Linked DNA regions of Arabidopsis thaliana. The protein of the gene in region 4 interacts with the protein of the main gene of each other region in a pairwise test. Each region holds a gene or a part of one and is shown on either strand. Other genes may lie near its edges. The genes, in order: G1, ATG13, ATG8E and AT4G30790.

Region 1 (6,210 bases), on a different chromosome or scaffold from region 4:
TATGCTTGGGCTATTGTACACGTTTGACTCATGCTGATTAGAGTATGTATAGTTAAATATAATAATTAAAATGTTAGAATCTGGTGTGGATTAGACTTTCGCGACATTGTTGAAAATTTGTGAATGCATCTATCTAAAAGTTGGTTTAGTGGAGTTTCTATGTGCACAACTGAAGTACATCACTATATTTGGACAATATTGAATTATATTTGAATTTATTGTCTTGAAGAATAATTTGCAACATTACATACCAAATGTTGGCTCTCTTACGGAGAGCGTATAAGCGCCACTTGACGTGGGCTTATATGGGCCCGGTTAAGGGTAAATGTTTAGTGGCCACAATTCTGAAACAGCTTCCCTTCTTCGGCCCATACTGGAGTACAAAAGTAACGCAATTAAGAAAAAGCGTTACAGGATTAATCCAAAACGGCATCGTTAGAAGAAGAGAGCACACATAGCGAAAACCCTAGTACCTTTATTTGAGCCAACACTTTCATTTCTCTCCTTCTCCACCAGTTTTCCCCCAATCGCTCCTCCTTAAACCCTAACATTTTTGCTTCCCCTGTTTCGATTCTCGAGAGTTATCAGAGATGAGTTCGGACGATGAGAGAGACGAGAAGGAGCTGAGTCTTACCTCTCCTGAAGTCGTCACCAAGTACAAGAGCGCCGCTGAGATCGTTAACAGTAATACACCCTCTCTTTCTTCCTTTCTTGTTTTAAGTCCGATTTGGATTTAGGGTTTTGAAGGTGTAGCTTTATCGAGTATTGATTTCTGTTGGGTTTTCAATTGCAGAGGCGTTACAGGTTGTTTTAGCTGAATGCAAACCAAAAGCTAAGATTGTTGATATCTGTGAGAAAGGAGACTCTTTTATTAAAGAGTGAGTATATCTCAATTTGTTCTTAATGTAGATTCGACCTTGGATTACTCTTAGATATTTATGTGTTTGTTCTTTCTTCTGTTTTTGTATTAAAGGCAAACAGCAAGCATGTACAAGAATTCTAAGAAGAAGATTGAGAGAGGTGTTGCGTTCCCTACATGCATTTCTGTGAACAACACTGTTGGTCATTTTTCACCGCTTGCTAGTGATGAGTCTGTGTTGGAAGATGGTGACATGGTTAAAATGTAAGTTGTCTTCAAGTAATACCTGTTTTTAGATGTTTCTGTATGATTCACCTGTGTTATTTCTGATGTTGTTTTGCGTTTCTCAATTGCAGCGATATGGGATGTCATATTGATGGGTTCATTGCCCTTGTTGGTCACACACATGTTCTTCAAGAAGGGCCTCTTAGTGGGCGTAAGGCTGATGTTATCGCTGCCGCAAATACTGCAGCTGATGTTGCTCTAAGGCTCGTACGTCCTGGAAAAAAGGTATCATCAGTTTTACTCTTACATTAAACTTGAAACTATAGGCTTTTGGTACTATAACTGCCTCTTGAATGATTGTCAAGGTTTTACAAAACCCAGATGATGAACACTTAATAAATGGCTATGGATTATTATCCATATGATGCTTTTTTGTCATAGTTACTCTGATGGGATTTTTCTTATTCTGATTTTTAGTCTGATCCCTCGTTGGATTTACTATGAGATGTTGGAACTTTGTCTAAGGTTTTCCTCTCTTGGTCTTGCACGATGCTTTTTTTTTTTAGCGGACTTCAAATGTAAATTGTTTTGGGAAAAGATTTCTGGATGAAGACCGTAATTGTTATGGATTCGCATCCAAATGAGGCCGTAGTTACTCTGATGTGGGAAAGTTCTTTAAAATAAAGTTTCTTGCTACGAGTTTGTAGTTTCTTGTTTAGTACTACAACATATTGCAATCAAGACATTGATATTCTGTTTTTCTTATCGCAGAACACTGATGTAACTGAAGCTATTCAGAAGGTAGCTGCAGCTTATGACTGCAAAATTGTTGAAGGTGTTCTTTCCCACCAGCTGAAACAGCATGTGATAGATGGAAACAAGGTTGTGCTTAGTGTATCCAGCCCTGAAACAACTGTTGACGAAGTGGAATTTGAAGAGAATGAAGTCTATGCAATAGATATTGTGGCAAGTACTGGTGATGGCAAGGTAATTTCTTTTGTTTATCGCATCCCGATCACTATTGGTGAACCTTTGTCTATTGCCATTGTTCTCACAATCTTTGACTTTGCAGCCAAAGCTATTAGACGAGAAGCAAACAACTATTTACAAGAAAGATGAAAGTGTTAACTATCAGTTGAAGATGAAGGCCTCCAGATTCATAATCAGCGAAATTAAACAGAACTTCCCCCGTATGCCATTCACTGCAAGGTGTCTTTTGTACCTTCTGAAGCATTTTATATTCCTTAAACTATTATCTCACTTGCTAACGTTACCTGAGAGTATTATCAATACAGGTCACTGGAGGAGAAAAGGGCACGGCTTGGACTTGTGGAGTGTGTGAACCATGGTCATTTGCAACCATATCCTGTTCTTTACGAGAAGCCTGGTAAGGATGATGAAAGGGTTTTGAATCTATAAACCTCTTTTATCTGAATCTTGATATCAAGGCTCATGTCGTTTTGGTTTTCTACCAGGGGATTTTGTTGCTCAGATTAAGTTCACAGTTTTGCTGATGCCAAATGGATCAGATAGGATCACTTCACATACACTTCAGGAACTTCCTAAAAAGACCATCGAAGACCCTGAGATCAAAGGGTGGTTAGCTTTGGGCATCAAGAAGAAGAAAGGTGGTGGAAAGAAGAAGAAAGGTAAGAACTTAAAATAAATTTCCAGACTTTTACCTTATATGACGTGATCCACATGTTGATTAAAAAGGTTCAATTTGGTGTTTTGCAGCCCAAAAGGCGGGAGAGAAAGGAGAGGCTTCAACAGAGGCTGAGCCAATGGACGCAAGTAGTAATGCTCAAGAATGAGTAGGAAGATTTGTCTTTGTTTCTTTTAAAGAATTTTTGAAACTTGAGGTACCTCTTTCGTTGTATGTTTGGGTTTCAAGAGAGTCTCTTCTTAAACAAAAAAAAACAAACAATAGTTTACCACCTTTGTGCATATTTTTGCACAAAGCACTTTTCATCATCATTTCTTTGCTTGTCCTAATCTTATCTCATTCTCTAATCAAAAATACTTATCTGGTTTCAGGCTATAACAATAACTCTGTTTAGAAACACTTGTTACCAACAAACTACTCTTTGAATGTGTTTACGTGGTAAGGATTTGATCCCACAGAAGAGAAATATTTGTGACAGAAGAAAAAAACTCAGCTCTTCAATAATCGAAGCTTATACAGATTTTTGGATTGGTTGATTTTGAGATTGTAACGAATAGTAATCAGAATTTCACTTAAGAAATTGTGATTGAACCCTCTAAACCACAGAGAGGGTTCTTGACGTGGTCCATAGTTCTTCAGTGGGGCGGCTTGTGGCTTCTTTTTCATTTTTCCAGAAAACCCCATAAACCTCTCGCTCTCGGGAATTTGATTGATTCCCACGAGGAAAAATCAATCTTCCCGGAAAATGGCAGCTAGGTTATTGTTCCGTCGAAGTTCTCAAATCCTCCGATCAATTCAACGAAATCCTCAAATCTCATCGTCATTCGAATCACCACCTTGCCCGATTTTTCACTCATTGACCACCGCCTCACCAGATCCATCGCGATTATCATCCTTAACCTTCCTCCGATCTCTCTCCATCGCTCGTCGCGGTCCAACACGTCCTAAGAAAATCGATATCGGAGCCAAAGCGCGTCAGATGCAGAATCGCCGTTTATGGACCTACGCGCTAACCTTCAGCTGCATCGCCGGATTCGTAGTTATCGTCCTTAACCAATTTCAGGATCAGCTTGTCTTCTACCTAACGCCATCAGACGCTATGGAGAAATTCGCAGAGAATCCAACAAAGAACAAATTCAGACTCGGTGGTTTGGTTCTAGAAGGTAGCGTTGCGCAGCCGGCGGCGTCACAGGAGATGGAGTTTGTGATCACTGATCTGATCACTGATATTTTGGTTAGGTATAAAGGATCTTTGCCGGATCTGTTTAGGGAAGGTCATTCAGTTGTGGTTGAAGGATTCATTAAGCCGTATACAGATGAAGTAAGGAAGGAAGTTTCTACAAAACCTATTTCGAAGAAAGCTAGGAACCTCGATTGTTTCTTCTCGGCGACTGAAGTTTTGGCTAAGCATGATGAGAAGTATATGCCACAGGAAGTTGCGGCGGCGATTGAGAAGAATAAGAAAATTATTGAAGCGGCGGCGACTGAACAAGCTGCTGAAGTTGCGGCTTCTTAGATTGGTATAAACTTCATTCTTTTTAAGTTAATCAAAATTTTCCCCAAGTTCGAGCTTTTGGTGAGTATTGTTCATCTTATAAGGTTATATTTGATTATAGTTTCTGGAAAAGAGTAGGAAGATTGGAATGTTATATTCCTGGAAAACAGAGATTTGATTTTTGAGTCTATTTGAGAATTAAGTGGAGAAATGTGATACACTATACAATAGCTTTGTTTGATTCCACAAAGCTATAAGCTAATCTACTTTCTTGTTGTGTTGATCAAATAAAGAACACTTTGACGAGGGATCAAATATGCTGCTTGATTCATTGTGTTGTTGGATGTTTTGTTTGTTGTTGATGTGCACACAGATTAGAGAAGCTATGTTTTGTTGCTGCACACAGATTAGATTGATCTAGTGAATCTTATTAGCTTCATCAGGTCGTGGGTATATAATTGTAAACGTATCACCAAAGTTGTAGCTTGTGTGACCTTATTCTTATCATGACTAGGTACTATAGCCAAAAGAGTTGAACATACAGGTCTTTCAGAGCTTCCTCTTAGTTGTTCTGGAGGTTCCAAGCTCTTTCTTTGTTGTTTTATAAATATGGGTTGAGCTTGTTGACAATCTTGAAGATGGTCATGCATTCCTTTTATGCATCTTATGTTTCAACTAGGCAATTCTGGCCCTGGAGATTTCAAGTTTGTACTTTCTGAGTCGATTAGGTGCCTAGTTTTTGCCTCTAGAATCATGGCATTGGCTTCTGTTTTGGCACTTCTCTTAGGCTTGTTGGTTGATAACCAACTACTAGTCTACTAATGTAGCTGTAGTTTGAAGTGTTCCGCAGTTACGCTATTGCTTTTGCTTTTTTTAAGTGCATCTTTATATATGCATCAGTCTCTCATTGTATAGCAAATTTATCGTGGGTGGTATATGATTCAGTCAACAAAAACTGACTATCAAGTATGGAACGAGTGGTATATGATTGAGTCATCAAAAATACTGACTATCAAGTATGGAACAAGAGCATTACGATATTTGTCACTACTATATTCGATTGCTATTGTGTGCTTGGTCCATTTTGAATATGGGACAAATCACCATTACTATACTTGCTGCCCTATACTAACTAGATTATTCCATATTCCTCGTAGATAGTTTTTGTTTTTTGGTTCAGAGAAAGTTCAGATTTTAGGCCTATAAGTTCTTTTGGTTGGGGACCATATCAAGTTAAATCTCTCACTATATGCATTGTGGCGGTTCGGCCGACCTGTCTAAAATTGGGCTTGTTCAAATCCTGCCTCAAATCCTGCCAAAGCGTGAGTTATATACATATACATTGACACTGAATCATTCCATCCAGGGCCGGTTGGCTGGATCCAAAATCAGTCGTTACCTATTTTTGGCAATCTTAAACTTATTGATTTTTTTTTTCTGACGTTTCACAAATCATCATCATATGTGAAAAACCAAAACATCTATATTAAGAAGAAAAAAAATATTGTTACAATTTCTGAAAATATTTGGTTCATTTAGTCCTTAAAAATTCTAATTACCAAAAAAGACAAATATATAACAATTGAAACACATGTGTGTTATCAGGAGAATTTGTATGTTTTGAGGAGGTGTGCATCATCCGTCTATCAATACCCTGACAAGGAAAACCCTAATTTTTTTTGGCCCAAAGGGTTTTATACTTTAATCTCATACTCCGATTCATTGTCGAAAAACGATGATGCATAATTCAACCGAAGAATCGGAATGGGAGGTGAGACCTGGTGGTATGCTCGTCCAACGAAGAGACGACGCCGCTTCCTCCGACCACAAACCTCTCCAGGATCCCGACTCTGCTTCCGCCGCTTTTGCTCAAACCATCAGAATCACTGTTTCTCATGGCTCATCGCACCACGATCTTCATATTTCTGCTCACGCCACTTTCGGTAACAAAACTCTCAGCTCCGT
Region 2 (7,858 bases), on a different chromosome or scaffold from region 4:
ACATTTATTATTGTATGACTTCATGACTAGAGTTGCATTTAACAGGATCTTTTATTTTCGCTAGATTTGCGAGGAATGCATAGGAGAGAGAGAAAGCTGTGAGTTGATGCAGAAACTTAGTTACTCTGAGGGAGATGTATTTGTCTGTTTTGTGCGTGGAAAGGAAGCTCCAAAAGCAATGTTAGAGGCATCTGACTCTAGCTTTGAGGTGGATCGGCGTACTTCAAAGCGATCTCGGAGAACAAATTATGGAAACCTGACAAGCCTGAAAGTGTCTGCGACAACGACTGTATACCAATTAAAGATGATGATATGGGAATTACTTGGGGTAAGATTCTTTTAGACATAGTGTTTTTTTCGTTTCTGTAGATAACTTGAAGAAACACAACAAAACGGGGTTTCAATAAAATATGCAGGTGATGAAGGAAAACCAGGAACTCCACAAAGGCTCAAAAGTGATTGATCAGGAATCTGCAACCCTTGCAGACATGAACATATTCCCCGGCGACAGGCTTTGGGTGAGAGATACAGAGATGCATGAACACCGCGATATTGCTGGTAACCAAATTTACCATTATTCTGCTGTCTGGTTAGCGAGATGTCCATGTAAAACTATTCATCTTATGTCTTAACAGATGAGTTATGTGAAAAGAAACCGGGGGCTCAAGATATCGAAGAAGGGTTTCGAGGGACGCTATTGACTGGGAATATCTCTTCTGAAGCCTGCTAGAAATTGTAACTTTGTGATCAAAGTGTAAAAACAGAATGCGTGAGAACTGAGAAAGAGTCATTGGACCATCTAGAGGAGGTAAAATATCTTATAAGAGCTACTTTCTCGAAACTAAAATCTCTTCTTATCTGCGGTGGTCTTATGATTTTGTCTTTCTCAGTAGTTGTGCAGGAGACGGACGACACATTTTTTGGGTCAGTTTTTTTGTAAAGGCAGGCAAGGCTTTGGAGCTTTATTTTGTGTAAAAAACAAACGCAAAGATTTGGAGAAAGCTTAGCACAAGCTGAATTTGTGTAGATGCAAAGGCTTATTGTGGATGGCTATTTGAAGCTGACTTTTGTGTGTGTGTTTTTGGTGTACTTTTTATCTAAATGGGCATTGCGTTTAAAACTCTTCTCTCTCTCGTTTTGTGCTGCACATCTTGTGACCTTATACCCAAATAGCTTGTTATCACAGTAGGAACTATCATGCATCCGATCTCTCTATCAATGTGACTCTTTGCTTCGTTTCACACTCATCTTAAAAGAGTATAGGTGACCGGTTTTCAACATTTGTGTATTTCATGTTTCTTCTAGAAAGAGGTCCAGATGAGAAAACAAGGTTTTCACATGATTTGTCAACAACAACAAAACCCTCAATAAATTTCACTACTTCATAATGAAAAGATTCAAGTTTGATTAGTTTATTTTATGTGCATATTCAAAGGCAAGTTCTTTTACAGAAACCAAAACGTGATTGCTCTTTGGCAATATACAACAGAGTTAAGTATTCGTCATCAAATTCATATCTACAAACAACCATCGGATAACTCATATCTTGATCGCTCTTTGATTTGGCTCAGTGGACGCGAGTTGGTCCAGACCCACTTTTGGATTTGGAGAGAAGCAAGTCTTTGAGCTGTTTGTAGTTTCTCAGTTCCTCTAGTGCATCTGATGTGCTACGAGCCATCGAAAATTCAGATTCTGTACCTGACACTGAACCTTCTCTCTGAACCCCAGACATTGACGCCATATAAGTGCTTGAGTCTTGTCGTAATGGTGGTGCTGTCTTCAGCATGTGAACCAGAACACCAACCGCTGCGTCCTGTGATGATCTTCTCCCTAGAGGTAGCGACTGCGATATAGAGCTTGAAGTTTTCCTCCGGTCAAGACTATGGCTGCATCGAAAAAATTGCAAAATATCTGTCATTTTCTTACTACCAAAGACTAAAAAACCCAAGAAGAAGTGAACTTGACAGACCAAAAAATGATAAAGAAACAGTAAGAGAAAGGCCAAGTATAGAGTGTGAATGCCAACAATTTCACATTAAACAAAACAGCCAACACATTAGTGTTTTCTTCATGGCATCTTGTCATTGACCAGCTCTATGTGTAAAGATTTCTGTAAACTAATCCAAGTATATAATATTTCCTTTGAATGATTCAAGTTAGGTAGTGGGATAAAGCCAACCTGTACTGAAGTCCTGACTCATCAACATCATCGAAATCAAAAGGGCATGAACAATCAGGGTCATCCAAGTCGTCTTGGGAAGATAATCTACTGGGGCTCCTAGAAAACGCGAATCTTGGTGAGTCACTCGAAGACAGAACTCCTGAGAAGCGGCCTGAATCGTATTTGCTGTCCTTTGACAGCTGAAGAGTAGATATAAATAAATCAACAAAATATCAGATGAGGCAATACAAAATATAGTGATATTTTTCTTGCATTGAGCAAGACACATAAGATGTAAGAAGCATAACCTTTTGAGTAGGGTACTGGTTCATTAATCCAGAAGGAGACTCTCCGCTTCTAGAACTCCTGTACAACGCAATCCCAGGCAAAGAGTCCTGCGATGAAGGGGAGCGTCTTGTGCTTTTGGGGGAAAAAGGAGGAAGTGGATTCCTACCTGGCTCAGAGAAGTTAGATGAAACGTATCTATTTAACGTGGCTGAAGAAGGAATGGTCACTGGAGCAGTCCCTGGTCTCACATTAATGCGCGGACTGTTACCCCCAGATATGTATCTTGGAGTAGATGGAGAACCCGATGGTGAAAAGGGAGGTGAAAGCTGGTGATTGTCACCAAAAGCATCTGTACGTGACCAGTGGAAATCGTGTAACCCAGGTGACAACTGATGAGACTGAGCTGGCGAAAAAGATTGGTTCGGTGTTGCGAATTGAGCTGGAGGTCTGTGAAAGCCGCTAGTCCAGCTATGCGGACGTTCTGCAGATGAACCAGTCAATGGAGGCCGACCAGCTCTACCAGTAAAGGAATGGCCTTCAACACTTCTCCCTGGAGAAGGGAAAAACCTCATAGGATCTGTTGCAGGACTTCCCACATAATCAGTTATAATCCTCGGAGGCAATGTGATATGAGCACCGAGATTAAAATCAGATAAGTCAGAACGGTAAGTAACCGATGCACAAAGACGACCAGGAGGCACTTCAACAGGAGCAAAACGAAACTCTTTCATTGTTTCCGTCACAGGACCAGAGAATATGTCACTGAAAGATGAAACCTTGTAAATCAAATCATAACCAGAAGAAGCAAGAGAAGAACTCAGCTGCCTAGAGACACGATAAGCAGGAAGAAGCCGAGTCTGTGCATAAAGAGACCGCAACAGAATGATAGATTTCTTGTAAACCTTCTGGTAACGCGTTGCAGAGTCAGAACTCTGAGGAGACATAATCAAAGGATTCTCATATTGAACAACCCAACGCTCAATCACAGTCTCAGCTGATCTAACAACAGAATCACTATGATCATCATCATCATCCAAATTATCGTTTGAAATCGGATGGACAAGAATGATATCAATAATCATAGAATCCAGAATATTCCTATGCCAAGAATGCAATTTCTCCAACGCAGCAGGACGATCTCCCATCACAAGATTAAACCATTTGTCACTTTTTCTAACGTTAAGACCTGATAAACGCTCACGAGTACGACCACGAGATTGCAACGAAGGGATTCTGGAATTAAGAACTATGTGTAATGCTTTTGGGAAGAAATGAGAAACAATCTGCTCTAATCTTCCTATATCTGAAGGCAAATTCTCTGGAAAATCCATCTTCTTCACACAAATCCCTAAATCGAAACAATTCTAAAAATATCTCACACAAATCCCTAAGAAATATCCAAATCCGAAACTGATCTATGAGAACGGAGATCACGAATCGTTGTTTTGGGAGAAGGATCTAGAAATACAAAGCTTAAGATGATTAAGGTGATTAAGAGATGAAGAAAGTGTAGAGAGATAAATTACAGATAGTTAGGGTTACCGTGAGGAAGAGAGTTTGATAATAGAAGCTTTTATGTGAAGATCTGAGACGTCAACGATGGCGTGAGTGTGTTTTACACGCAGATGACGATGATGATGATCAACATAAACAAAAAGAGTTTCAGAGGTAGAAGAAACACACACGATCACGATTTGAGAACACTGTGAAATTACTAATTAAATTAATATTGAATTCAACCAATGATAAATAGCCACGTCTTTGTTCTCTTTTGTTTTTCTCGTTTTACCCTTATCTTGTTGCCTCAATTACAGGAGACAATAGGTCTCGTTAATCTTAATGTACTATACTGTGAAATTACTAATTAATATTCGACTCTTGTGAATGCAGCCAATGAAGAATAGCCACGTCCTTGTTATCCTTTGTTGAATTTTTGTTTTCTTCTGGTTTTACAGGAGACAAGACAATAGGCTCTTAATGTATACAGTGAACCTGAATCTCACGCGCTTTTTTGGTAGAGAAGGTGAAGCAAATGCGCCAAGTCGGATGTTTAAGTATATGGGCTTACTGTTTAAGCATTAGGCCCAACATTTCTAGATAATTGGAACACTTTTTTTTTTTTTTTGTAAACCAGATAATATGTATTTGCAATCATCACTATGGAATGAGTTCAAAACCATTGGTTTTTTGAAGTTATGGACTACGTAGCTAACATTTTAAAACCTACAGATTTTTATTTTATTTTAAATGTTATATGTTATATTGTATCATTACAAGAGAAAGCGATTCTTACAATGTAGTTTAGTCTTCTAACAACTGTTATTATTACTGTTGTGAAAAATATGTATTCAAACTAACATACTGCATGTTATCAACAAATGTATAAGTTGTAAATGTCTATTATATATTCTCTATGTTCCTAAAAGAATGATGTTTTGGGTTTTTCACCCAAATTAAGAAAATTAACTTTTATGTTATTTATATTATTTTTTTGTTAATTTAATAATATAATTTCTACTTCTTTCCTCTCTCTATTAGTCATTAATAAAAATAATAATAATATTAACCTAAGAAATCAATTTTTATGGAACAAAAAAAAATCTAAAACATCAAATTTCATGGAACAGGAGAAATATATTTTTGGTGATAGTACACTAATTTTCTATTTTATAGTGGTTGTAGATGTATGATGTCGTGAAATATCCCATAATAGTTCTTCAATCATAATATAAGTAACGCAATATTAAGCGGCAGCGTTTTCCCAAATTATTAACTTGTTAGTTAATAATCTAAAGAATAAATCCTTGTCACAAACTCACAATATCACAAGAAAGTGAGAAACACTATAGTGATTGGCTTCAGACGTCACCTATTTCAAGCCCTACTAACTCAATAATGTAATCAATATATACCACATACATACATCAGAGATCAGACCAACACATTTTTATTACAAATTTGACGGACCAGAGATTTATAAATAATTAAATTGAATTTGTGTAAACCACGGCATTAGAATTATTAATTACTATTCTATTTACACGTTAACATATATTTATCCATTTATCAATTTATAGTTGTATAGACGGCAATTTGTTTATTAATTTTAAAGTTAAAACTAGTTAATAACATGGATAAACCGGAAATTTCGAAATTAATTTGGTTTAAGTTTCATATAAAAAATATTTAAATCGAACCTAGCGAAACTGTGATAAAAAAACGAAAAAAAAAAATTGAACATTCGAAAAAAATAGTAAATTTTCTCTTTTGGGGTGGTCTATGCATACATAAGCCATGAGTATGTTTAAGTTTCAAGTAAGGAGAAAATATTGACCGAAATCAAAAGTGAGGAGAAATAAAAATCAAGAAGCAGATACATTGAACCTGGACATGCAAAAGCTACACAAAGCGCCTATTAAAGAAACATAATCAAACCCTAACACTCAACAAATCAAGAAACAAAGTTAGAACCACAATCAAATCCTTTTACACAAAGAATCTTAATGGCGAACCGAGGAGGATGCGTGACGGTGGCGGCGGAAGAGATGGATGAGCTAAGGAGGAGGAACATAGAGCTCTCGAGAGAAGTGGCGGAGATGAAGACAGAAATGATTAAGTTGTGGCAGCGAACGGTTGTGGCGGAGGAGGCGGAAGAGCAACTCTGCTCGCAGCTGGCGGAGCTGGAGGTCGAGTCTTTAGAACAGGCACGTGACTATCACGATCGCATGCTCTTCCTCATGGATCAAATCTCTCGTCTCTCTTCTTCTTCTGTCGTCTCTTCCTCGTAGAATAAGATATTTCTCATAAGTTATGTATAGTTGTGTATGTGACAATCACTATACATGTATATAGATCGATGGTAATATGTTATGTTTTCAACATAAATTAAATGTTTGAATCCATTTCTAGTGAATAAATTAGAATTTCTGATAATCATACAAATTGTTGAACTCCATTTCTAATGAATTAGTATTTCTGGTACTAGTTGCATATTTTGTCTTGACTTTTAATTACAAAAGTTCTTATGGAAGCAAATAATATTTTGGAATGATACCATGTTTAAGTAATGAAGTAATAATATATGAGTGAGATCTAATGTCAATCTTAACTATCAAAATAATTTTATGGAACTAGTAGGTATTGGAGACTCGAAGGGGATCGAAGAACTTTGAAGTTTAAATTCCATGAAATCCTACATTACCATAATTTTCAAAGGAATCGTAGAAGAGTTAATTGAAACTTGAGTGTAGAAAAAAATAAAGGGTTTTTGGGTACATGAGTTTCATGGAAATTTTCCACAACTTCAGGATTTTTTTTTTGTGGTCAATGGAAACCGTAGGAGAGAATGGTTCAATGATTTTTCTATGGAACCATAACAATAGTCTTTAGGGGACGTGAAACATGAAATTGTGTAAGTTTTCCATTGGTTCAAGGGTCATTTTCTGTTTCTATTTCATTTAATTATATATTTATTTTGTTAATATAAAAAAAAATCATTTAAAATAGTATGAAGATATGTGGTGCTGGCAAATTAAGAGGAATATTGACATTCGATTTTGACGTGATTTTGTTTGTTTTGCTGTTAATTAACTGTTTTGATCATAATAAATTTGAGATAGTATCCGTTGACGATGAGAATATGCCATGCGTAGATTTAAAATTATTACCATTTCTTATTTAATCAACAACGGTACCGGAGTAAACCATGCCTGCCAAAAATGAATTGAAACTTCAATTGTTTCAAGAAAGATGTGTGTGTGTGTGTTTTTTTCATTCTAAACAAAGTTGAACCAAATTAGAATAAATTAAACCGAAGTGAGCCAGTATGTAATTTTGGAAGACTAAACCGGACAAGAAAGCAGATACATTGAACCTGGACAGTATAGGAACTCAATCAAATTGTATGGTCTAAAATGTGATCATCCCACGCTCCGAATTTGTTCATGTCGCAGCTTTTTTTGGCATTTTGTAATAATTGGGCAAACGATTATTCATGATTTTTTTTTCTTCTTTGGCTTTTTTCTTATGCTACTTTATCCCTGATTTTGATATCTCTTGAAAAGAAGGATCTACCATTATTGGAATCATTTGTCTACGATATCGACTATCGAATTTGACTGTTTACAAAGCTATAATTCTTTTGATATCGGGTGACCAAACTGTAATTAATTAACTATAGTTCCATGAACAATTTAGGAAATAGAGATAGCTTAGACTTTGGCCTAGATTAATGGGTTTAATGACTAATATTGGTGGATTCAAGAATAATGAATTAGTAGGAATAATCGTTACGTGTTTCATTGGTGCGACGGCCATTGACTTGGGATAAGTAGAAGTGGTCCACTGGAGGCACGAAGAAATGGGATATGACAATTACATCGACGTGATTGGTGACGTCACCCATATGTA
Region 3 (6,311 bases), on a different chromosome or scaffold from region 4:
CCTTAGCACCGGATCCCAACGGAAATTGCTTCTCAGAATAGTTTTCTTCAGTCTCCGACTATATTTATTTCATTTTCCGATCATCGTACTATACACTCCCCAACATCGAGTAAACAAGCTTAGTTGTCAATTTACGAGTTCCAAAAGAAGAATCCAACAAAACGCAGTGTTTCGTTACTTCTAGACCCATCTAATTTCTACGTGTTGTATGCAACAATGACGGCTTTACCCTTTCGCTTTCTAATGTGGTCCATGTTGTTCTGGACTTATAGGTCCATATGGGCCTATGTTGGGTTGGATAATAATTAACCAATAAGAGACCACGTAGAGACCCTCTAAACCAAATAGAGGCGTTGAAGCATGAGCACGAATAGAAGAGCGTTATGATTGAATGTCATTTATGGACGAGAGGAGAAATACTAAGAACATAAAATCCATTAACAAGCTCAAGCATTACATCAAACTCAATATTGAGAGAACAAAGGTTCTATCATGAACAAGCTCAAGCATTACATCAAACTCAACAGTGACAGAACAAAGCTTTTTCTCACAAAAACAATAGATAACAGTAGAAACAAACATATAAAAACATAGCAAACCAAAGAGATTTTTCTCTTTTAAAGTCTCAAATCTTCAAGAACATTGGAAACCATGAGGAACTTTCTTGCCACAATAGTTCAACAGCAAGGTTAGATCAATAGGAACATTGAGATTAATCCCCAAGACATTGGCTTTAAGAGCGGTGCAGAGACAAACCGCAGCTTCAAGATTAGCAAGACCTTGAAGAAGTGTACAACAAGGAGTCTTTGGTGGAGAACCAACAACAACGTTAACTAGGCCCAATAAGTCTGCGCAAACACCAAGCTTAAGTGTGTCGGTAGGACAAGTGGGTTTCACGGCAGGAGCCTTCTTAGGCGATTTCGGGGTTTTTGGGGGTTTAGGAGTAGTTGGTGGACATTTTGTGGAGGTTACAAAGGTGAAGAAAAGAAGATTAAGTGTAATAAGAAGAGCTGTAACTGCAAGAGCCTTAGAAGCCATTGTAACGTTTTGTAATGTTTTGGGATGAATGTGAAGGAGAGATATAGGACATGGTTTATATAGAACAAGTTATTACTAATTACATATACCGAGAGATAAAATAGCATGTGAGCGACTTAAGAAAATTAGAGTAAGAAACAAAACTATCCAGCTAGTTGGCTTTTGCAACTTGAGGTCTTGAAATTGATTAGACTATTTTTTAGGAATTGTTAATTTATTTTTCTATCACAGAAAGGGAAAAGACAAGATTTTTGTCTTGTTTGTTTGTGAAAGAAGAGGCTCCACAAACTTTGAGACAGAGTGTCTCTCTGGGTGGTATGCATCAGTTTGATCATAGTTGTGTAGATCCATTATACGTTGTTGATAAGATATTGTTTTACATTGCATTAGTCCCCATTCCTTTAGATTTTTTTATGAATGATAGATCTTTCAGCATCAACCGATTATATTTCCAAATGCAACTGGACAAGATAATCCCAAAAACAAAATTCAAAGAGTCTACATCTCATCATTACTCGTTTCCAATATTTGGTTTGGTCTAGTTTATCCAAATTTGTAAGATACCTTCTAGAGTGGTCCGTTTAGTATCCAAGAAAGAATTCATGTAGTAGCATCATCAAATGATACCAGTCTAATGAATGAAATCTTTGAGGGAGAAAGAAAGCCACACAAACTTATAATACCAAAGGAAGATAATATTATAAGATTAGTCTATGTACATTTTAACAAGTGAAAAGAAGATAGTAATCACAATTATTTGAGAAATGATAAATATTGAGAACAAACTATACACACAAATTGAAAGTTGGGAAGAAGCATTAAAACGTGGCGGATTCTCAGAGGTCAGAGATTAGATTGAAGAAGCACCGAATGTGTTCTCGCCACTGTAAGTGATGTAAAGGAAGCCATCTTCGTCTTTCTTATCCTCGTAAACGCTTGACATTAGCTCTCCTGTTGGAGGAAGAACATTGTCTACGAAAATGAAGATAGCTTTCTCTGCACTTAGTTTGATTCTCTTCCGAATCACATACACAAATTGACCAACTGTTAGGTCTGATGGCACAAGGTACCTGCATTTATCAAAATCCAGAACAATTCCAAAATTACATACAAGTCTTGAAAACATTGAACAAATAACAAGTTTAACATGATCAACAAAAGGTACTTACTTCTTCTTGTCTATATTTGGGACTTCACTTTTCTCAGCCTTTTCCACAATCACCTGCAACCAAACTACAATGTAAGATAATCTGAATCTTGTAGAAAAAACAAACAGTATTGGATTCTCAAACAACGAAGCTAATGTTCTGTAACCTAAACTAAATTTCACCACGAAGATTCATGATATTGTTTGTGAAACCGAATTCAGCATACATTGATAAATACGCAAACACAGGTACAAAAACATAAGAAAACCTTACAAGAACAGAACAGAACTGATCAAATTAACAAAAACAACACAAAGACAGATGCATCCCAAACTAAACTATTAAATTACATACACAGACTCATGCTACATCATAAATTGAAAGACACGCAAAACAGAGATCTATTACCATAAGAAAACCTTACAAGACCAGAACAAAATCAGATAAAAATCAAAACAAAACTTACAGGAATTCGATCAGGGTATTTCTCCCTGATCCTTCCAGCTTCAGCTTTTCTCTTTTCTGCACATAAACAATCTCTAGAAATCAGATATACATATACAGATATGAACGCTGATACACATGTATGCCTCTATACTGATTCTAGGTCACAAAATCGAAACAGTAAAGAATAAAAGACTAACCGAAATCGTTGTCCATCTTAAAGATGCTTCCTTTATTCATCTTTGCTTCTGAGAATATACACAATCAAAGAAATTGAGACACAAAACCCTAATTTTGTTTTCAACACCCAAATCGAAATTCCGCGTCTTTTCGGGGAAAAAAATGAATTCTAAATCTAGAGAAATCAAAACAGAGTATGTAACAGAGAAATCAACAGAAAACTTACAGAGAGAGAATTTGATGGAACGGATAAGGATAAAACTCTGGAAGAAGAAGAAGAAGATGATCTACGGATACAAAGTCAAAAAAAGGAACCTTTTTCTTTTCGTCTATGATTGGATAACGTTAACTCTATATACACTTGTTTATATATGTCTGTTAGCTGACGTGTTGAGTTATTAGACACGTCAGCTTAGCTTGTTCTCCAAACAAACAAAGTCATTCCATTATTGTTCAAACAAATTTTTCTTTCTTTTTGTTTTAAGAATTTTTGTTAGGTCAATGTCAATTCTTTTAATTAATTAATACTACTATTACGTAATAAAATACCAAATTTTGTTTAATTTATTGTTAGTTTTTCCTCATACTTTTCCTTTTAGTGTAGAACACGTCTTTGATTTGCCTTTCCCTCACTTTTTCTTACATTGAATTTTTTTCCTTTCGATGTGTTTTTTTCCTCCAGTTTATATTGTTAACGAAACATGTAATGCGAAATTCCCATTCGTAGTTCTCACGTGGCGGTGTATTGTTATATATATATATATATATAACAGTGTCGGTGTTTAACTTTATTCATTCATTATTTGGATAAAATTGAATAATTAGAAATAGAAAGACTAAAAAATGAATAATAAGGGTTGCTGAACTTTAATGGGCTAGAACCGACAAAAAAAGAAGAACTTTAATGGGCCAGAATAAGTAGTAAGTGGGTCTGTGAATCGTAAGTTTATGATAGATACGAGGTTTGATGAGACATGAGATAAAGGCCCAATACATATGTATGACATATTCCAAATATTTGTATTGCGTATCGATGTAATTGATACAAAATCGTTGTGTTTGTGCTTTCTGGTGACTCGCTCCTCTGTACGATAACACAAAGATATTCGAAAAACATAATTTTCGTTGTCTTACAAAACAGAATTGGTCATATGGAGTTATTCAATTCACCAAACTCTATGAAAATTTGTCAGTTCAATCATTTTGGCTCTACCAACAAATTTTTTGTTAAGAGGTCCCTCATCAAAGCTAATAGCTTTCTGTTTGACCATGTCTTCCCTGGTACAATCATGTTTAAACCTATCAATTTTCAAAAACGTGTAGAGTAATTTGTATGAATATATCATATATGCCTCACAATATTTCATAATCTCCGAAAATCTTTAGTAATAGAGATGTTAAGGAACATAACAAAATAAAGAAAGGTAGTATATAATTGGAGCACTTCATCATTACCAAATGATTAATGGAGAATGTATGTAATAGTGCATCGTATAGTTTTATATTTCAACTATCCCTAGATTTTAGCAATAATAGTTAAGATTTAATAATGTACTAATCGATGATTATCTTGTGGTGTAGTTGTGTTGGTCGTTGTCTTAACAAAAGAGACCATATATTATAACCATGTAGTAGCATTATTGTATTTCTGTATTTGTTACTTTCTGCCATAAGCATATAAATCCAAACATAACATCGATACAACTAGGCTAGGTATGCCATGCCATGTTCATCTTAATTGAGATTTCATAATTTCATTACGAAATTTCTACATCTAGAGCTCCATTACCGATATACTTTTCCTATATATGTTTTTAAGTGATCGATAATAGTAACTCTGCGCAAATGCCACTAATAAGGTCCGAACCCTGTGTATGAGACGTAATAAGAAGTTTATTTTTTCTTTTTTGTGCAAACGTTTAATAAGTTAAGACTTCATATAAATAAAATAATATTGGCGGAAAAAATATAAATTATATAAAAAACAAAACAAAATTCATATTGCATACTATATAATATACAATTGAATATCTCTACACAAGTGGCACGTTAGTGGTGTCCCTTCTTTAGCTAGTCATCACCTCTAAGATTGAATAAGCAAGTTGGTAATTTGTATTCTAAAAATAACAAAAAGGGGCGAAAACTAATTTAATGCGATACACATTTTGTTTTAGGACAGAGACACAATAGTGGTGGAAACTCACATGGAGGTTTGTGATTTGTCTTGGGAAATAAACCATGTCTCTCATAATGACAATGCTCAAATAATAATAATAATAATCTGTTTTTTTCTTTCTGGTTTAAGAACGTAAATATATGGTTAACTCAAGGCAATACTGATACATAATAATAACATAATAAGCATGTCTACTTTACATTCATACACAAGCAACCAAGAATTTCAATCTTGTCTTGGAAATCCAGCTGCCCATCTCCTTGTTTGATTTTCATTTACTCCACTTATTGTTGTTAAATACATACATAACCACTTGATTTATTGGTAATGCTATTATATTATTGTTGTGTGCTTGTTATGGTTGTAGATGTAGTAGTGAATTAGATATAGAATAAACAAATATGTTAGCGTGATCCATGTTATGTCATCGAGGTGTTTCATTACCACGAATTTTCTTAGAAATTGTGAACAACATATTGGGACCGTGCGATTAATTTGATTTGTGTTGACAAGGAAAAAATTGTTTTATAATTTTAACATAAGTTTGGTTTCCAACACCGGTGTTTAGTACTGTTTTAATATTGTATACCTAATGTAAGTAGTTTATTAAGAATGGACAAAATGTACATTAACTACTTAATATTTAAATGAACATTTGTTTTAAAACAAATAGCAGAGTGAAAAATTTGACATAGCAATGTCATTTTCATTGACCAAAATTAATATATCAAAGTGCGATTCAAATAATATAAACTTATAGTTTAGGTTTTTAACAAAATAGTGGAAATGTTTCGAGATGCTTTCACACAAAACAATACTAGTATTTTCTTCAAAAACTTTAATACATATATATATATATATATATATGAATATAATGTAGTTTTGAAAATAAATTCCATGAACAAAAAAAGGTCCTAATAATAAATTCGAATAAAATAGTGTTAGTTATTTAACTAACACATGTTATGATTAACAACTTTAAGTTCTTTGCAAAAAAGAGTTTAGTTTTTAAATCACGAGTTAAAGTAATCGACACCACCACCATCTTAGATTTTGTAGTTAAGACTAATTAAAGAAAAAGGAAGAATACTTCCAACATAATTTAGAGCCAATGGATTTGAAGTGAGACAAAGCATCTCAGCCGTTGAAAGATTTTGGTCTCGATGTTTTCAAAAAATCTTCAAAAAGCCACACCAGAGAGACACTCAAATAGAGCACCGGTCCGTCAGATTCAGTTTCGAAAACCAGGCCCAAAGCCACCTGCCAGACTTGTTTCCCCTCTAATTACTATATTGTCCTTCTCTCTTTTGCAGTGTCTTCCTCGA
Region 4 (10,592 bases):
CTTCGCTTTTGAAGATCGGGCAGTGGGAGGTGAGTCCTGCGAAATGTTTCGTTTTGATATGTTTTCATGGTGGTTTCAAAATCTGACTTGACTTGGTTTCTTTTTTTGTGCAGTATAAATCGAGGTATGAAGGTGATTTGGTGGCAAAGTGTTACTTTGCTAAACACAAACTTGTTTGGGAAGTGTTGGAACAAGGTCTTAAGAGTAAAATCGAGATCCAGTGGTCAGATATTATGGCTTTGAAGGCAAACTGTCCTGAAGACGGACCTGGAACTTTGACTCTCGTGGTATAACATTCACTCATGTTCTTTTCTTTTGCTCAACATATCACTCTTGTTCAACTTTAATGATTTGACTCTTTATGTTTCAGCTTGCTAGACAGCCCTTATTTTTCCGGGAAACAAACCCACAGCCTAGAAAGCATACCTTGTGGCAGGCGACATCAGATTTCACTGATGGCCAAGCCAGCATGAACAGGTACAGGCATTTCATGTAAATTTTTTCTGAATAAATTTGGTGATGTCCTAGCTTCAGCTAACGATAGTCTCCCTGTGATCTGTTAGGCAGCATTTTCTGCAATGTGCTCAAGGGATAATGAACAAACATTTTGAAAAGCTCGTTCAATGTGATCATCGTCTGTTCCATCTAAGCCGACAGCCGGAGATAGCTATTGACTCTCCCTACTTTGATGCACGGCAATCTATTTTTGAGGATCCAAGTGAATCAAAAGGCCATCCTTTTGGGAATTTGAATCTTAGTACAGGTCCTTCGATCTCTGGGACTCAGAATTTAGCATCTCCTGTTGGGGCTCAGTCATCATCTGAGCATATGTATCTGTCTCATGAAGCACCATCACCCAGCTCAGGTATTATGATGACTGCTCGCTCATTCTAGTTGCTTTCATAACTCGTTATTAGAATATAATTTTTCATTTTCACTTTTGTTGAACCTGATTAGGATTGTGGATTTATATTTCTGTTTGTTTGCTTCGTTCATCTCTAGTGATAGATGCTCGTGCAAATGAAGGAATTGGGGGTTCTGAAGCAGTCAATTCAAGAAACAGAACAGATTGTGGTCAGATCGAAGCACCTGGAATACACCAATCTATGTCACTGAGTGATTTCCTTGCGGTTCTCTGTGATACAAAAAACACAACGGATTTGAATCTGGCTGACGACGTAGATGGACTACACCAATCTATGTCAGTTAGTGATTTCGTTGCATATTTATCTGATTCAAGAAACATAACTGATTCAGATCAGATAAAAGTACCTGGACTACACCAATCTATGTCAGTGAGCGATTTCGTTGGACTTCTCTCTGATTCTGCTGGTGGAAGTCATCCGGAACATATGGAGAAATTTGAGATCATGAAACAGCAGTTGCTAAGTGATAATATCCAGTTCGAGGCACCAGATGAGAAGTCTCTCATGCCAAGGGTTAACTCTTTATTCAACCTCTTGTACAAGGATCCCAACGTCGCTGCAAACTCACAGCTCAATACCGAAATGTCGGTTGGATTGAAGTCTGAACCCAAGGGAATTGTTTCTGACAACAACAACAACAACAACAACAACAACAGAGTTCTTGATACAGCTTCTAGCAGCAAACCACAGGGTATGTTAAGGAAAGACTCATTCAGCGATTTGCTATTACACCTCCCCCGGATCACATCCTTGCCAAAGTTCTTGTCCAACATTTCAGAAGAAGATGGTGATGCATATAATAGATAATTTATAGATACCGCCTTTCTTTTCTGGATTTGGCAAGTATAGGAACCTGGACTAGTAGCTTTTCTGTTTTTTTTTTCTTGTAAATCAAAATTATCACTTGGTAACTACAACCCCCACAGGGATTTGAAGAAACATGTTTTGATGATTAATTTCTGTATATTATTCCCAATATAAACCAAAGTTGGCAGAGGCAAAAGATTCCATTATTTATCCTAAAACTTTTTTATTTTCTCGTAATATTTAGTAATCTTTTTATTACAGCATTCAAATTATAGCAGAGTATGTACAATACAAGGAGAAAAGATTAAACTAAGATCAGTGATCATCAGCTGTACATAAAGAAGAAAGATATGAAAATAAAAGAAAGTTAAAGAAGAGACAAATGAAACCCACAAATCATATAAAGGGGCTGTCTGGTTTTAGATTGTGTTATTTGAATTCAAAGTATTTACATTTTTTGTTCTTTTTTGGGGGGAGGGGGTTTCTTCCATCACGTCTATCTGCTGCCTTAGGAACAAGCAAAAGGATCAGGAAGCTTGTTGATGAATAGCAGTGTCAGGAAGCATTGCTATTGTCACTATGAAGTATTCACATCCTGAAGAGAGACCATAAGGGTTTGATGTTGTTGTTGCTGAAGTTGATGTTGAGATTGAACTTGATGCCAGAGTTCTCGAGCCCTGGTCTGAGCAGAGATGATGTGTCTTACCCGCCTCAGGAGAAGCAGAAGCTGAAAGTTGTGATGGCAGTTTCACTATTTGGCGCTCTATGTGGACAATCTGTCCAACAATGTATGTAGGCCGGCTTGGGAGATGATCTGTGAACAATGCCTCAGATTCAGAGGACAAGTAGTAATTTGGGCAGTTCCTGTTGATTGCCTCGTAATGCCCTGCTTGGTTTAGCACAAATGCTGCTATCTCATGGACTTCAAGACGACCGAATGATATCTTTTCCTTATTTGCCTGTCATCACAAGAATTCACCAATTTTCTCATTCAAAACCGAGGACACTCCAAATTATGAATGTGTAGTAAAAGGAGAAAGAAAATTTACTGCAAGAAACCATGACTGTTACTAGAGATAACACGAGTCTACCTGCTTCCCAAGTTGGTGTTTAGTGTACAATGTTTTCACCAGCTCTTTCTTTTCCTCCAAATCCTTTCTTGTCTGTTCACTTGTGGCTTCAAGATTTTGGCACTTCTCCAATAATTCCTCCCGGTGTTTGGAGAGGAAGCTAACTTTGTCTGCCAGGACTCGGATGCATTTCCGGAACTCAGTAGTACCATCATCTTCATTTTCATTAACGGAGCTGTGAAATTCCCAAGTAGGAGAAATGCAAATTCAGAGAAACATTTTCAGAACAAGAGCTTGAAAGTGGATAAGTACTGCCATATACACAAGAGAAAAAGAACTAAGGTTATCTTTTTGGGAAGCGTACAGATGGGAACTTACTTGGCTAAAGCTTGAGCCAAAGTTCGCAAGGAGTCAGCAAAATCAGCAATCCCACTACCAGCACAGACAGAGCTCCGGAATCTTTCAAAGAGACCTCGCATCTTCACAGCTGATGCACGAAGTGCAGTATACTGAGAAGCTCTACGATCAGCAGCACAAAGATGGGTCTGGGCTTCTTCTCTTGCTTCATGTAAGCAGTTCTCCAAATGCGCACAATTCATCTACAACCAAAATAGTAATGTATACCACATCAGAGGTAAAAATTTAGAGGGAAAGGTTCCTATAATGTGTAAGGTGCACAAGCTATCTGGTGACGCAGAAATAGCAGAACCATGCTTCTCTAGATATTTCTAATTGAAATGTCTGCCAAATCACAAACATTAAACTGTTCATAACCCTCTCGTTAGAATGTACAAGTAAACTAACTGAGAGAAACGAAGAAAATTCACAATTGAATGACTGGTCAACCAGGTGTAATCCAAGATATCATGAAAGCCTTGATCTATGGCTCCTGGAACTGGTTGGCTTCAACTGGTTTAGGCATTGTGCAAAAGCATATTGAACCTTCCTAGTCCAGATGATTGACATCACTACCAGTAAAAGATACACAGAAAATAGACCTGATACTAGCACCTTAGATACTAGAATTTATGAGACGTCTAGGACACAGCAAATACCAGCAACCAAAAGAGTAACAGAAAATGGTGTAAAGATAGATAACACACCAAAAAAGAAAGACTAGCTCCTAGACTAACGATACAATGAATAGATTATAGAGTTAGAAAGATAAGAGAAATCTGCCAAACCTGGGATTCTTCGAGAAGCTTCTGATTCGTTTCCAACTCTCTGCTCAAATTGGATACCTCTTCCATAGCACCATTTAGCTTGGACTCCATTTCACTCAGTTTATTGGACTTTTCCATCAGCTCATTTCTAAGTTCCAAGATAATATCACCACTGTCTTTGGCATCTAAACCTCTGCCAGTTGCCACATTATCATCCAAAGATTTTTGTGGGCTCTCAGCTGTCGAACTGTTACTTAGAAACACACCCATTTCCCCAGCCTCACTATCTTTTCCACCTTTCTCGTTGTTTTGCTGGCTTTCCAGCATCGATGAGTCAAGCGGTTGACTGAGCACCTGAGAGGAATCCACCATATTCTCATCCATACCTTCCCGAGCTTTACATGGCTGCTTGCTAGTAAGATTTGAAACACAAGAGACCTCATCCATTGGTTCTGAACCAGATACATGAGTTTTGTTGCCTTCCACGTCACTTGAAGCTTCTGCTTTGTATTCACTAACTTTTTCATGCATAAGGTTTAAGCCAGATACATCCTTATTATTATGTCTCTGTCCCTGTAGATACTCATCAGAGAGACGTTGTTCCAGTTCACGGATGCGCTTCTCATATGAATCACAGTGCATTTGTTTTTCCTTGAGCATAAGTAGAAGATGTTTCTCATACTCATCTTTGGCCTGCAATGCCTCTGCTGTTTTATCTGCAGCATTTTTCAACACATTTTCTACTTCACTTTCATCCAGTACCTCATATTCAAATTGTGGGCCTAATGAACAGATCCGAGAGATTGCAGAAGCAAGGTCAGCTTTTAGTTTTGCATTCTCAACTTCCATCTTGCTGGTTCCAGCTATCTCTATTAATTCAGAGGCTGCTAGGATATCATCAAAATTGTCTTTGTCAAAAGTGTCTATACCTATCTCCTCAGGCTCAGCGGAAAGCGAGCTATCACCAGACATGGTCAGTGAACTCTTTAAGGATGCAATCTTCGAATGTAACCCAACTAGAAACTCAGGAGCATATCGATCAACATCTGAGATTTCAATATTGAGCAAACTAGTATCATACGGAGCAACATTGACATCACACTGAGTAGGAGTATCGTATAAACCCATTGAAGCCAACACGTCACGAGGTACAAAGGGGCCATGGGTTTTAAGAAACTCCTCACGTTTCCTGACCTCTGTTTCCCTCTTCATAGCAAGCTTCTCTGCCAATTGCCCAGCCATGCCCATGTAAAGCTTCATAGAGGCTTTTCTTCTCACCACCTCTGCAAGACAGGCCCTATAAGCGGGGCCAACACCACGGACTAACTTCAAGTCTGCAAATAAGTCATCCTGGCGAACCATTGCCTCTCTAAAAACGGGAAACTGTAACTTAGCATCTTTGATGATATATGTGACGTATGTTATCTTTTGCATGTAACCGTGTACAAAGTTGTTCATCTCATTCTTCTTGTTCTTGCAGAAATCCAGTAATTCTGAAATTGAGTTATAGCAAGCTTGCATTTTGGGAAGGTGATTCTTGTCATGCACTTCGTACATAGGACCCAGGGCTGAAACAGCATCATGGGGACGCAGAGATGAGGACACTTGGCTAGACATACAATCATCCACAAGTTTCTTAACCGTATTGACATCTTTGCTGTTTCAAGATTTATAAAACACAGTCAGATAAACAACATAAAATTTCCAACAGAGACATTATAAAAGGTGTTCCCAGCTAATGAAATGAACAAACCTGAGAGACTGCATAATGCTCTTTTCCTCATCAATGAAGCGTTCATGATCCTTAACAGTCACTTCTAAGTTCTTCATTGATAAAGAAGCCCTGCAGGCAAACAACTCTTCTACCTTGCGCTTGACCTCGACAAACATCTGCTGGAACTGTGCAATCTTATTCTCAAATTGCCTGTGAGAGCTTGCACAATTCTCCACAGCCTTTTTGAGGTTATCTTCCTTGACAAAGTCCAACAAGCATTTCCTTGACTCAGTTTGAAGATAAGGGTGAATCTTGGCTGACCTCAATTTCTCAATATCCCTTCCAAAATTCATCAGCAAATCAGAGTGGAGGCGGTGTTGATGCTTATAACGCTTCATAAATTCAAGAAAGTTCTGATAGATCACCCTGTAATACTGTTCCAGATTCCTAGTAGCAACTTCAACAGCCCGCTGCTGTACCTTTTGCTCTCTCGTTAACCTTTCGCAGTTCTCATGCTTCACAACCGTACAATTGTAGATGGTGCGGCCTTTATGGAAATGGTAACGAAATTGCCTTTCATACAAAGGTAAAGCCTTTAAAGCTGGATCCGATGCATCATCCAAGGGATGATGTTCATGTAATGAAGCCGGTGGTAAAGCATCAGCAACGTCTTGCAAATCTACATCTTCTGGTGATGGCGGATGAGAGTTACTTTGCAGCATAGCCTTGTTGAAAACAAACACTTCCCTGTCACTTGCAGGAAGTCCAAAAGCAGAAAGCAGCTTTTGTGGCTCAAGCTTCATGTCTAGCGAGAGAAGAAGCTGATCAGATAAGGCAATACCAGAAACAGATTCAACGAAACGCATCACAGATTCAACTGAAGTAGTCTCGCTGCATTGAAATTCAAACGAGTGGCCATTCTCAGCCACACAAAGAAGAAGCTTGCCATCATCGGCGAAACTCTCAGTGAAGCTTCCGCTCATCGTAACCACCAAAGGACCCAAAAATCCTCAACCACAGAATCAATACCCCAAAGTTCACAGCCAAATTAAGAAAGGTGACTCACCTAATCAAATTAGGAACCAAAATAGGCAAGGCTGCCAAAATCAAAAGCCCTCCAACACAAAATCCCAACCACGAATCTGTAAAAGCACAGAGCTTTTCTATATCCTCGATCCTTGACCAAAATCCAGATTCACCAAAAACCCTCGTCGAATCTCGGAGCTTTTGATATGTTTCACAGAAGACCTTTAAACCCCAAGTATCCAGACCTGATCACGACCAGGATACACACAAATTCAGAATCCAGCGTTAGCTAATGTTATCCCAAAGTACCCACCACGAAATTTTCTCAATTCTCGAAATTTAAGCGAAATTCACCAAATCAAATATTCAACCGAATCAATATCCCCCTTCTTTCGCCTTCGTTGCACCCAGAAGAATTTATCCTCTTTTTTGCTTTTTTTGTTTCTATTTAAAAAGGAAAAAAAAAATTAAGCTAACCCTAGAAGACGCAAAAGCAGACGTGATACGACAAAGGAACGCGATTGCGTGAAGAGACGAGTGTCAAAGTCGAAGAATTTATCCGAAGCCGCAACAACAAAGGATCAAACTTCTCTTCACGAAAACCTCTTTCACCACTATACTTAAACAATTAATATCCTCAATTTTCTTCTTCTTCTTCTTCCTCTTCCACTTCGCTTCTTCCTTTTTTCTAATAAATTTTTGACATTTTCAATAATGGAAAGTTGCGCAGAAGCTTCTAATGTAAGTTTACTCTCTCACGCAAACACCAGAGTCGAAGAACCCTTTCGCTCTTCTTCATCTGTTGTCCAAGACAAGACAAGATAAAGCCTGTTTTGTTATAAAAAGTAATTATTTTAATTTAATATTTTTATGGGGGAACGGTAATTCTGTAAGTATTTCAGTTTCACCCCAATAGTTTTGTAAATGGTTTAATTTACCCCTAACAGATTTAAAATTTACACAACCGGTTACATTTGGTTCGGTTTATTTACTTTGGTTTTTCACAAAAAAAAACACATAACGCAACCATAAATTGTACTGTATATGGTTTTGAGTAACGGTATCAACATGAATTTCGAACATGTAAAATCACATTGGATATACACAAAAATAACAACACAAAAGAATAACAAAATTATCTTTTTGGTTCCTAAAAAAATCTGAATCTTGGCGATACGGACAAACAAAAAAAAGTTCAATACAATAAAATTGTGGAGCCAATAAATTACTTTCATTTCTTTTGATACCAAAACTTATAACCAACCTTCAAAACCAGCATAACTCTACTCGTTAATCTTGTTATATTCCTAGATTTGAACCATCGTGGCCATATAACTGAAAGCTGAATTCATTGTGTAAGTAACGTATGATATGATAATACTATATGTGTATAAATAGGTGGACACATATATGTATATAAACTAAATTTGGCATTTCCTATCATATGATATGATAAGCTTGATTGGCATGTGATGTGGATTGGACCACACAAACACACACACACAGAAGATGTCCATAGGCCATAGGCGGTCCATTATTATTGGTAAGAAATGATTAAATTAAGTATGCAAACAACTTGACATTGAAAATGATCTTCTGAAAGTGATATTTCAATGTTTTCACACAATCTTGCCCGTAAATGGTTGCATTTAATTGTTACTAGATAGAAAACGGAAAAAAAGAACAATTTTTTTTTTTGTGTTTTTGTTTTTAATCTCTTTCTAATTATGTTTTTGTGAATAACTGTGTGTTTGATTAATATATTGTTTTCGAGATTCATCATATAATATTTGTTACACTCTATAGATGTGATAGAGTTATCTACTACACCAATAAGATATAAGAAGGCCACATTTTGATTGTAATTGTATATATGAATATCTGTGGACAAAAAGGTAACACTTCACATAATTCCAAAGGCTACGTAACATCAGATTGGTTGAGCTTCCACATGGGAATTCGGCAAATCTGTAATCTTCTGTATATGCCAAATATGTAATTCTTAGACTTAGGAAAAAATGGTCATCTCTTCAATAATAATACTTCTAATTAAATGGTCCTCACTAAAACAATGTTTACTTAATAAAACGTATAAACAAATAGATTTTGTTACATATAAAAGTATAACCTAAAATGCATGCAGCAAATTTCTGGATTGTTAGCATATAGCTCAGAACAATCGGAAACAAGATGTGCTGCCACCTGAAACAAACATACTAATATATGATTATTAAGTTGACATGACCTAAGGGGAATCTCGTGAGATTCGTTTTTTGACAACTTAGCTTTGGATCCAGAATCAAACATAGCCCACACAAATGAAAATAGGATAACATGGATTCCACAAACTCTTCACACTTTTTATATTATATATAGTACTTGTGATTTTATAATATAAAATAAACTATATCAATGATATTAGCTAGATATTTAATTCGCGTTGAATGTGGATACTACAAGAGTTTGATAGATTAAATTGATTCAAGCAAATATTTTAGTGGGAATTTGTAAAACACTACATCTTCGTTATCGACTTGGGTATGAGACTAAGAGACAATATATATATATTCTATTAAAAAAACTCACTGTTACATGCGATAAATGGATGAATAATTCTTGCTTAATTAAGTTTGAGTATATTACTTTGTTTGTGACAACCGAAATAGTGTCAAGAACTTCATATCACTCGGTGGATTACTTTATTTGATTGAATCTTAGTTGATAACGAAATCCTTTCTTTTTCTATGTATTTCGATTATTAATGTAATCAGAAAATTTTAAGTATTTTTTCACGTTATCCAACTTTGAGAGTACTGTCCTTGTGTTGGCCAATAAGTGGTTGAATATATGGTAAAAGTATAAAAGCTCCCATCATGTTGGACCTACTAGCTTTGCTATATATAAAATGTCCTGTCATTGCATAACGTACCACTTTCTGAATCTGTTTTACGTGCCTATCAATGATTTGTCTTTAACACTTACCGTAATATTCTACAATTAAGTTCAAGTGCCTAGATTTTCTAAATGTGTATAAAGACATTATATATGGCAAATGATCCTTTAGATAACCATTTCATTTAAATCAAGCATTCGATTCGCATTCATAGATAAAATACTATTCACCGGTCCAGTTCTAACTAGCCATCCAGTCTGGTTAGAAAGCAAAATTGTTTATTTTATTTTAGGTTCAGTTTTCAGATCGGTTTTCTAACACTGTTTTGGTTTGGTTCTCGTATCGGTTCAACCGGATTGGATAGTCATAAAGAATTTGAAGTCCTTAATTAAGCCCAAAACAAGTAGAGCCCATATATATACTAACAAAGCCGTGATTAGGGTTTTTGGTTTTCGTCAGAAGATTTCAAGGTTTAGGGTTTCTGCAATTCAACCATGGCAGAGCAGGTTTGGATCTACATTACATTGTCTTTATGTTATAATTGGGGATTGCTAGTTGTTGGATTCTCGTTTTCTGGGTTCTTTGATTTTGGCTTTTAATGATGGATTGGTGTGTTTGCAGACGGAGAAGGCGTTTCTTAAGCAACCAAAAGTTTTCTTAAGGTAATTGTCACACCTCAAAAATTCAACTGCTTTGTATTTTGGCTATGGTCTCTTTATGCTTATGATTCAAATGTTCTATCAGCTCGAAGAAATCTGGTAAGGGAAAGAGGCCTGGTAAAGGAGGTAATCGTTTCTGGAAGAACATTGGCCTTGGTTTCAAAACTCCAAGAGAGGCTATTGAAGGTACTGTTTTTATGTCTCAGCTCTCAATTTTGCTTTACCATGTCTAGAAGAAGCTTCATTTGTTAAAAAAGTTGGATTCTTTAGAGAACTTAGAGGATTTTGGTTTAGTGTCTCTAATTTGGTTGTTGAGACATTTTCTGAGTAATCT

What was found.
Region 1: the proteins of AT4G30790 (region 4) and G1 come close enough for resonance energy transfer, tested with the Arabidopsis thaliana proteins (one study listed by BioGRID).
Region 2: the proteins of AT4G30790 (region 4) and ATG13 come close enough for resonance energy transfer, tested with the Arabidopsis thaliana proteins (one study listed by BioGRID).
Region 3: the proteins of AT4G30790 (region 4) and ATG8E come close enough for resonance energy transfer, tested with the Arabidopsis thaliana proteins (one study listed by BioGRID).

The regions. Positions count from the first base shown.
Region 1 is NC_003074.8:19,207,949-19,214,158, reverse strand, and holds G1 (transmembrane protein G1P-related 1), read left to right. Parts: upstream 1-3,309; 5' UTR 3,310-3,495; coding exon 3,496-4,266; 3' UTR 4,267-4,644; downstream 4,645-6,210. Other genes in the region: ATG2 (metallopeptidase M24 family protein), read left to right, coding at 591-684, 794-878, 974-1,123, 1,216-1,369, 1,856-2,071, 2,157-2,293, 2,380-2,471, 2,533-2,733 and 1 more; BAG4 (BCL-2-associated athanogene 4), read left to right, coding at 5,981-6,188. UniProt on the Arabidopsis thaliana protein: Heme-binding chaperone that may be involved in cytochrome c maturation in mitochondria.
Region 2 is NC_003074.8:18,373,814-18,381,671, reverse strand, and holds ATG13 (Autophagy-related protein 13), read right to left. Parts: upstream 4,194-7,858; 5' UTR 3,781-4,193; coding exon 2,411-3,780; intron 2,362-2,410; coding exon of another isoform or gene 2,348-2,361; coding exon 2,180-2,347; intron 1,887-2,179; coding exon 1,568-1,886; 3' UTR 1,398-1,567; downstream 1-1,397. Other genes in the region: UBP26 (ubiquitin-specific protease 26), read left to right, coding at 65-328, 417-558, 636-730; LSU1 (response to low sulfur 1), read left to right, coding at 5,953-6,237. UniProt on the Arabidopsis thaliana protein: Involved in autophagy in a nutritional condition dependent manner. The ATG1-ATG13 protein kinase complex regulates downstream events required for autophagosome enclosure and/or vacuolar delivery. Becomes a target of autophagy under nutrient starvation.
Region 3 is NC_003071.7:18,621,104-18,627,414, reverse strand, and holds ATG8E (AUTOPHAGY 8E), read right to left. Parts: upstream 3,152-6,311; 5' UTR 3,037-3,151; exon of another isoform or gene 2,879-3,036; 5' UTR 2,871-2,878; coding exon 2,831-2,870; intron 2,709-2,830; coding exon 2,653-2,708; intron 2,261-2,652; coding exon 2,208-2,260; intron 2,109-2,207; coding exon 1,889-2,108; 3' UTR 1,624-1,888; downstream 1-1,623. Other genes in the region: AT2G45180 (Bifunctional inhibitor/lipid-transfer protein/seed storage 2S albumin superfamily protein), read right to left, coding at 634-1,038. UniProt on the Arabidopsis thaliana protein: Ubiquitin-like modifier involved in autophagosomes formation. May mediate the delivery of the autophagosomes to the vacuole via the microtubule cytoskeleton.
Region 4 is NC_003075.7:14,991,123-15,001,714, forward strand, and holds AT4G30790 (autophagy-like protein), read right to left. Parts: upstream 7,528-10,592; 5' UTR 6,664-7,527; coding exon 5,720-6,663; intron 5,624-5,719; coding exon 3,988-5,623; intron 3,403-3,987; coding exon 3,182-3,402; intron 3,039-3,181; coding exon 2,825-3,038; intron 2,693-2,824; coding exon 2,261-2,692; 3' UTR 1,734-2,260; downstream 1-1,733. Other genes in the region: AT4G30780 (ATP-dependent DNA helicase), read left to right, coding at 1-29, 114-287, 371-477, 564-865, 1,003-1,733; AT4G30800 (Nucleic acid-binding, OB-fold-like protein), read left to right, coding at 10,094-10,105, 10,221-10,261, 10,344-10,444. UniProt on the Arabidopsis thaliana protein: Accessory protein involved in autophagy. Acts as a scaffold protein of the ATG1-ATG13 complex for faithful delivery of autophagic vesicles to the vacuole.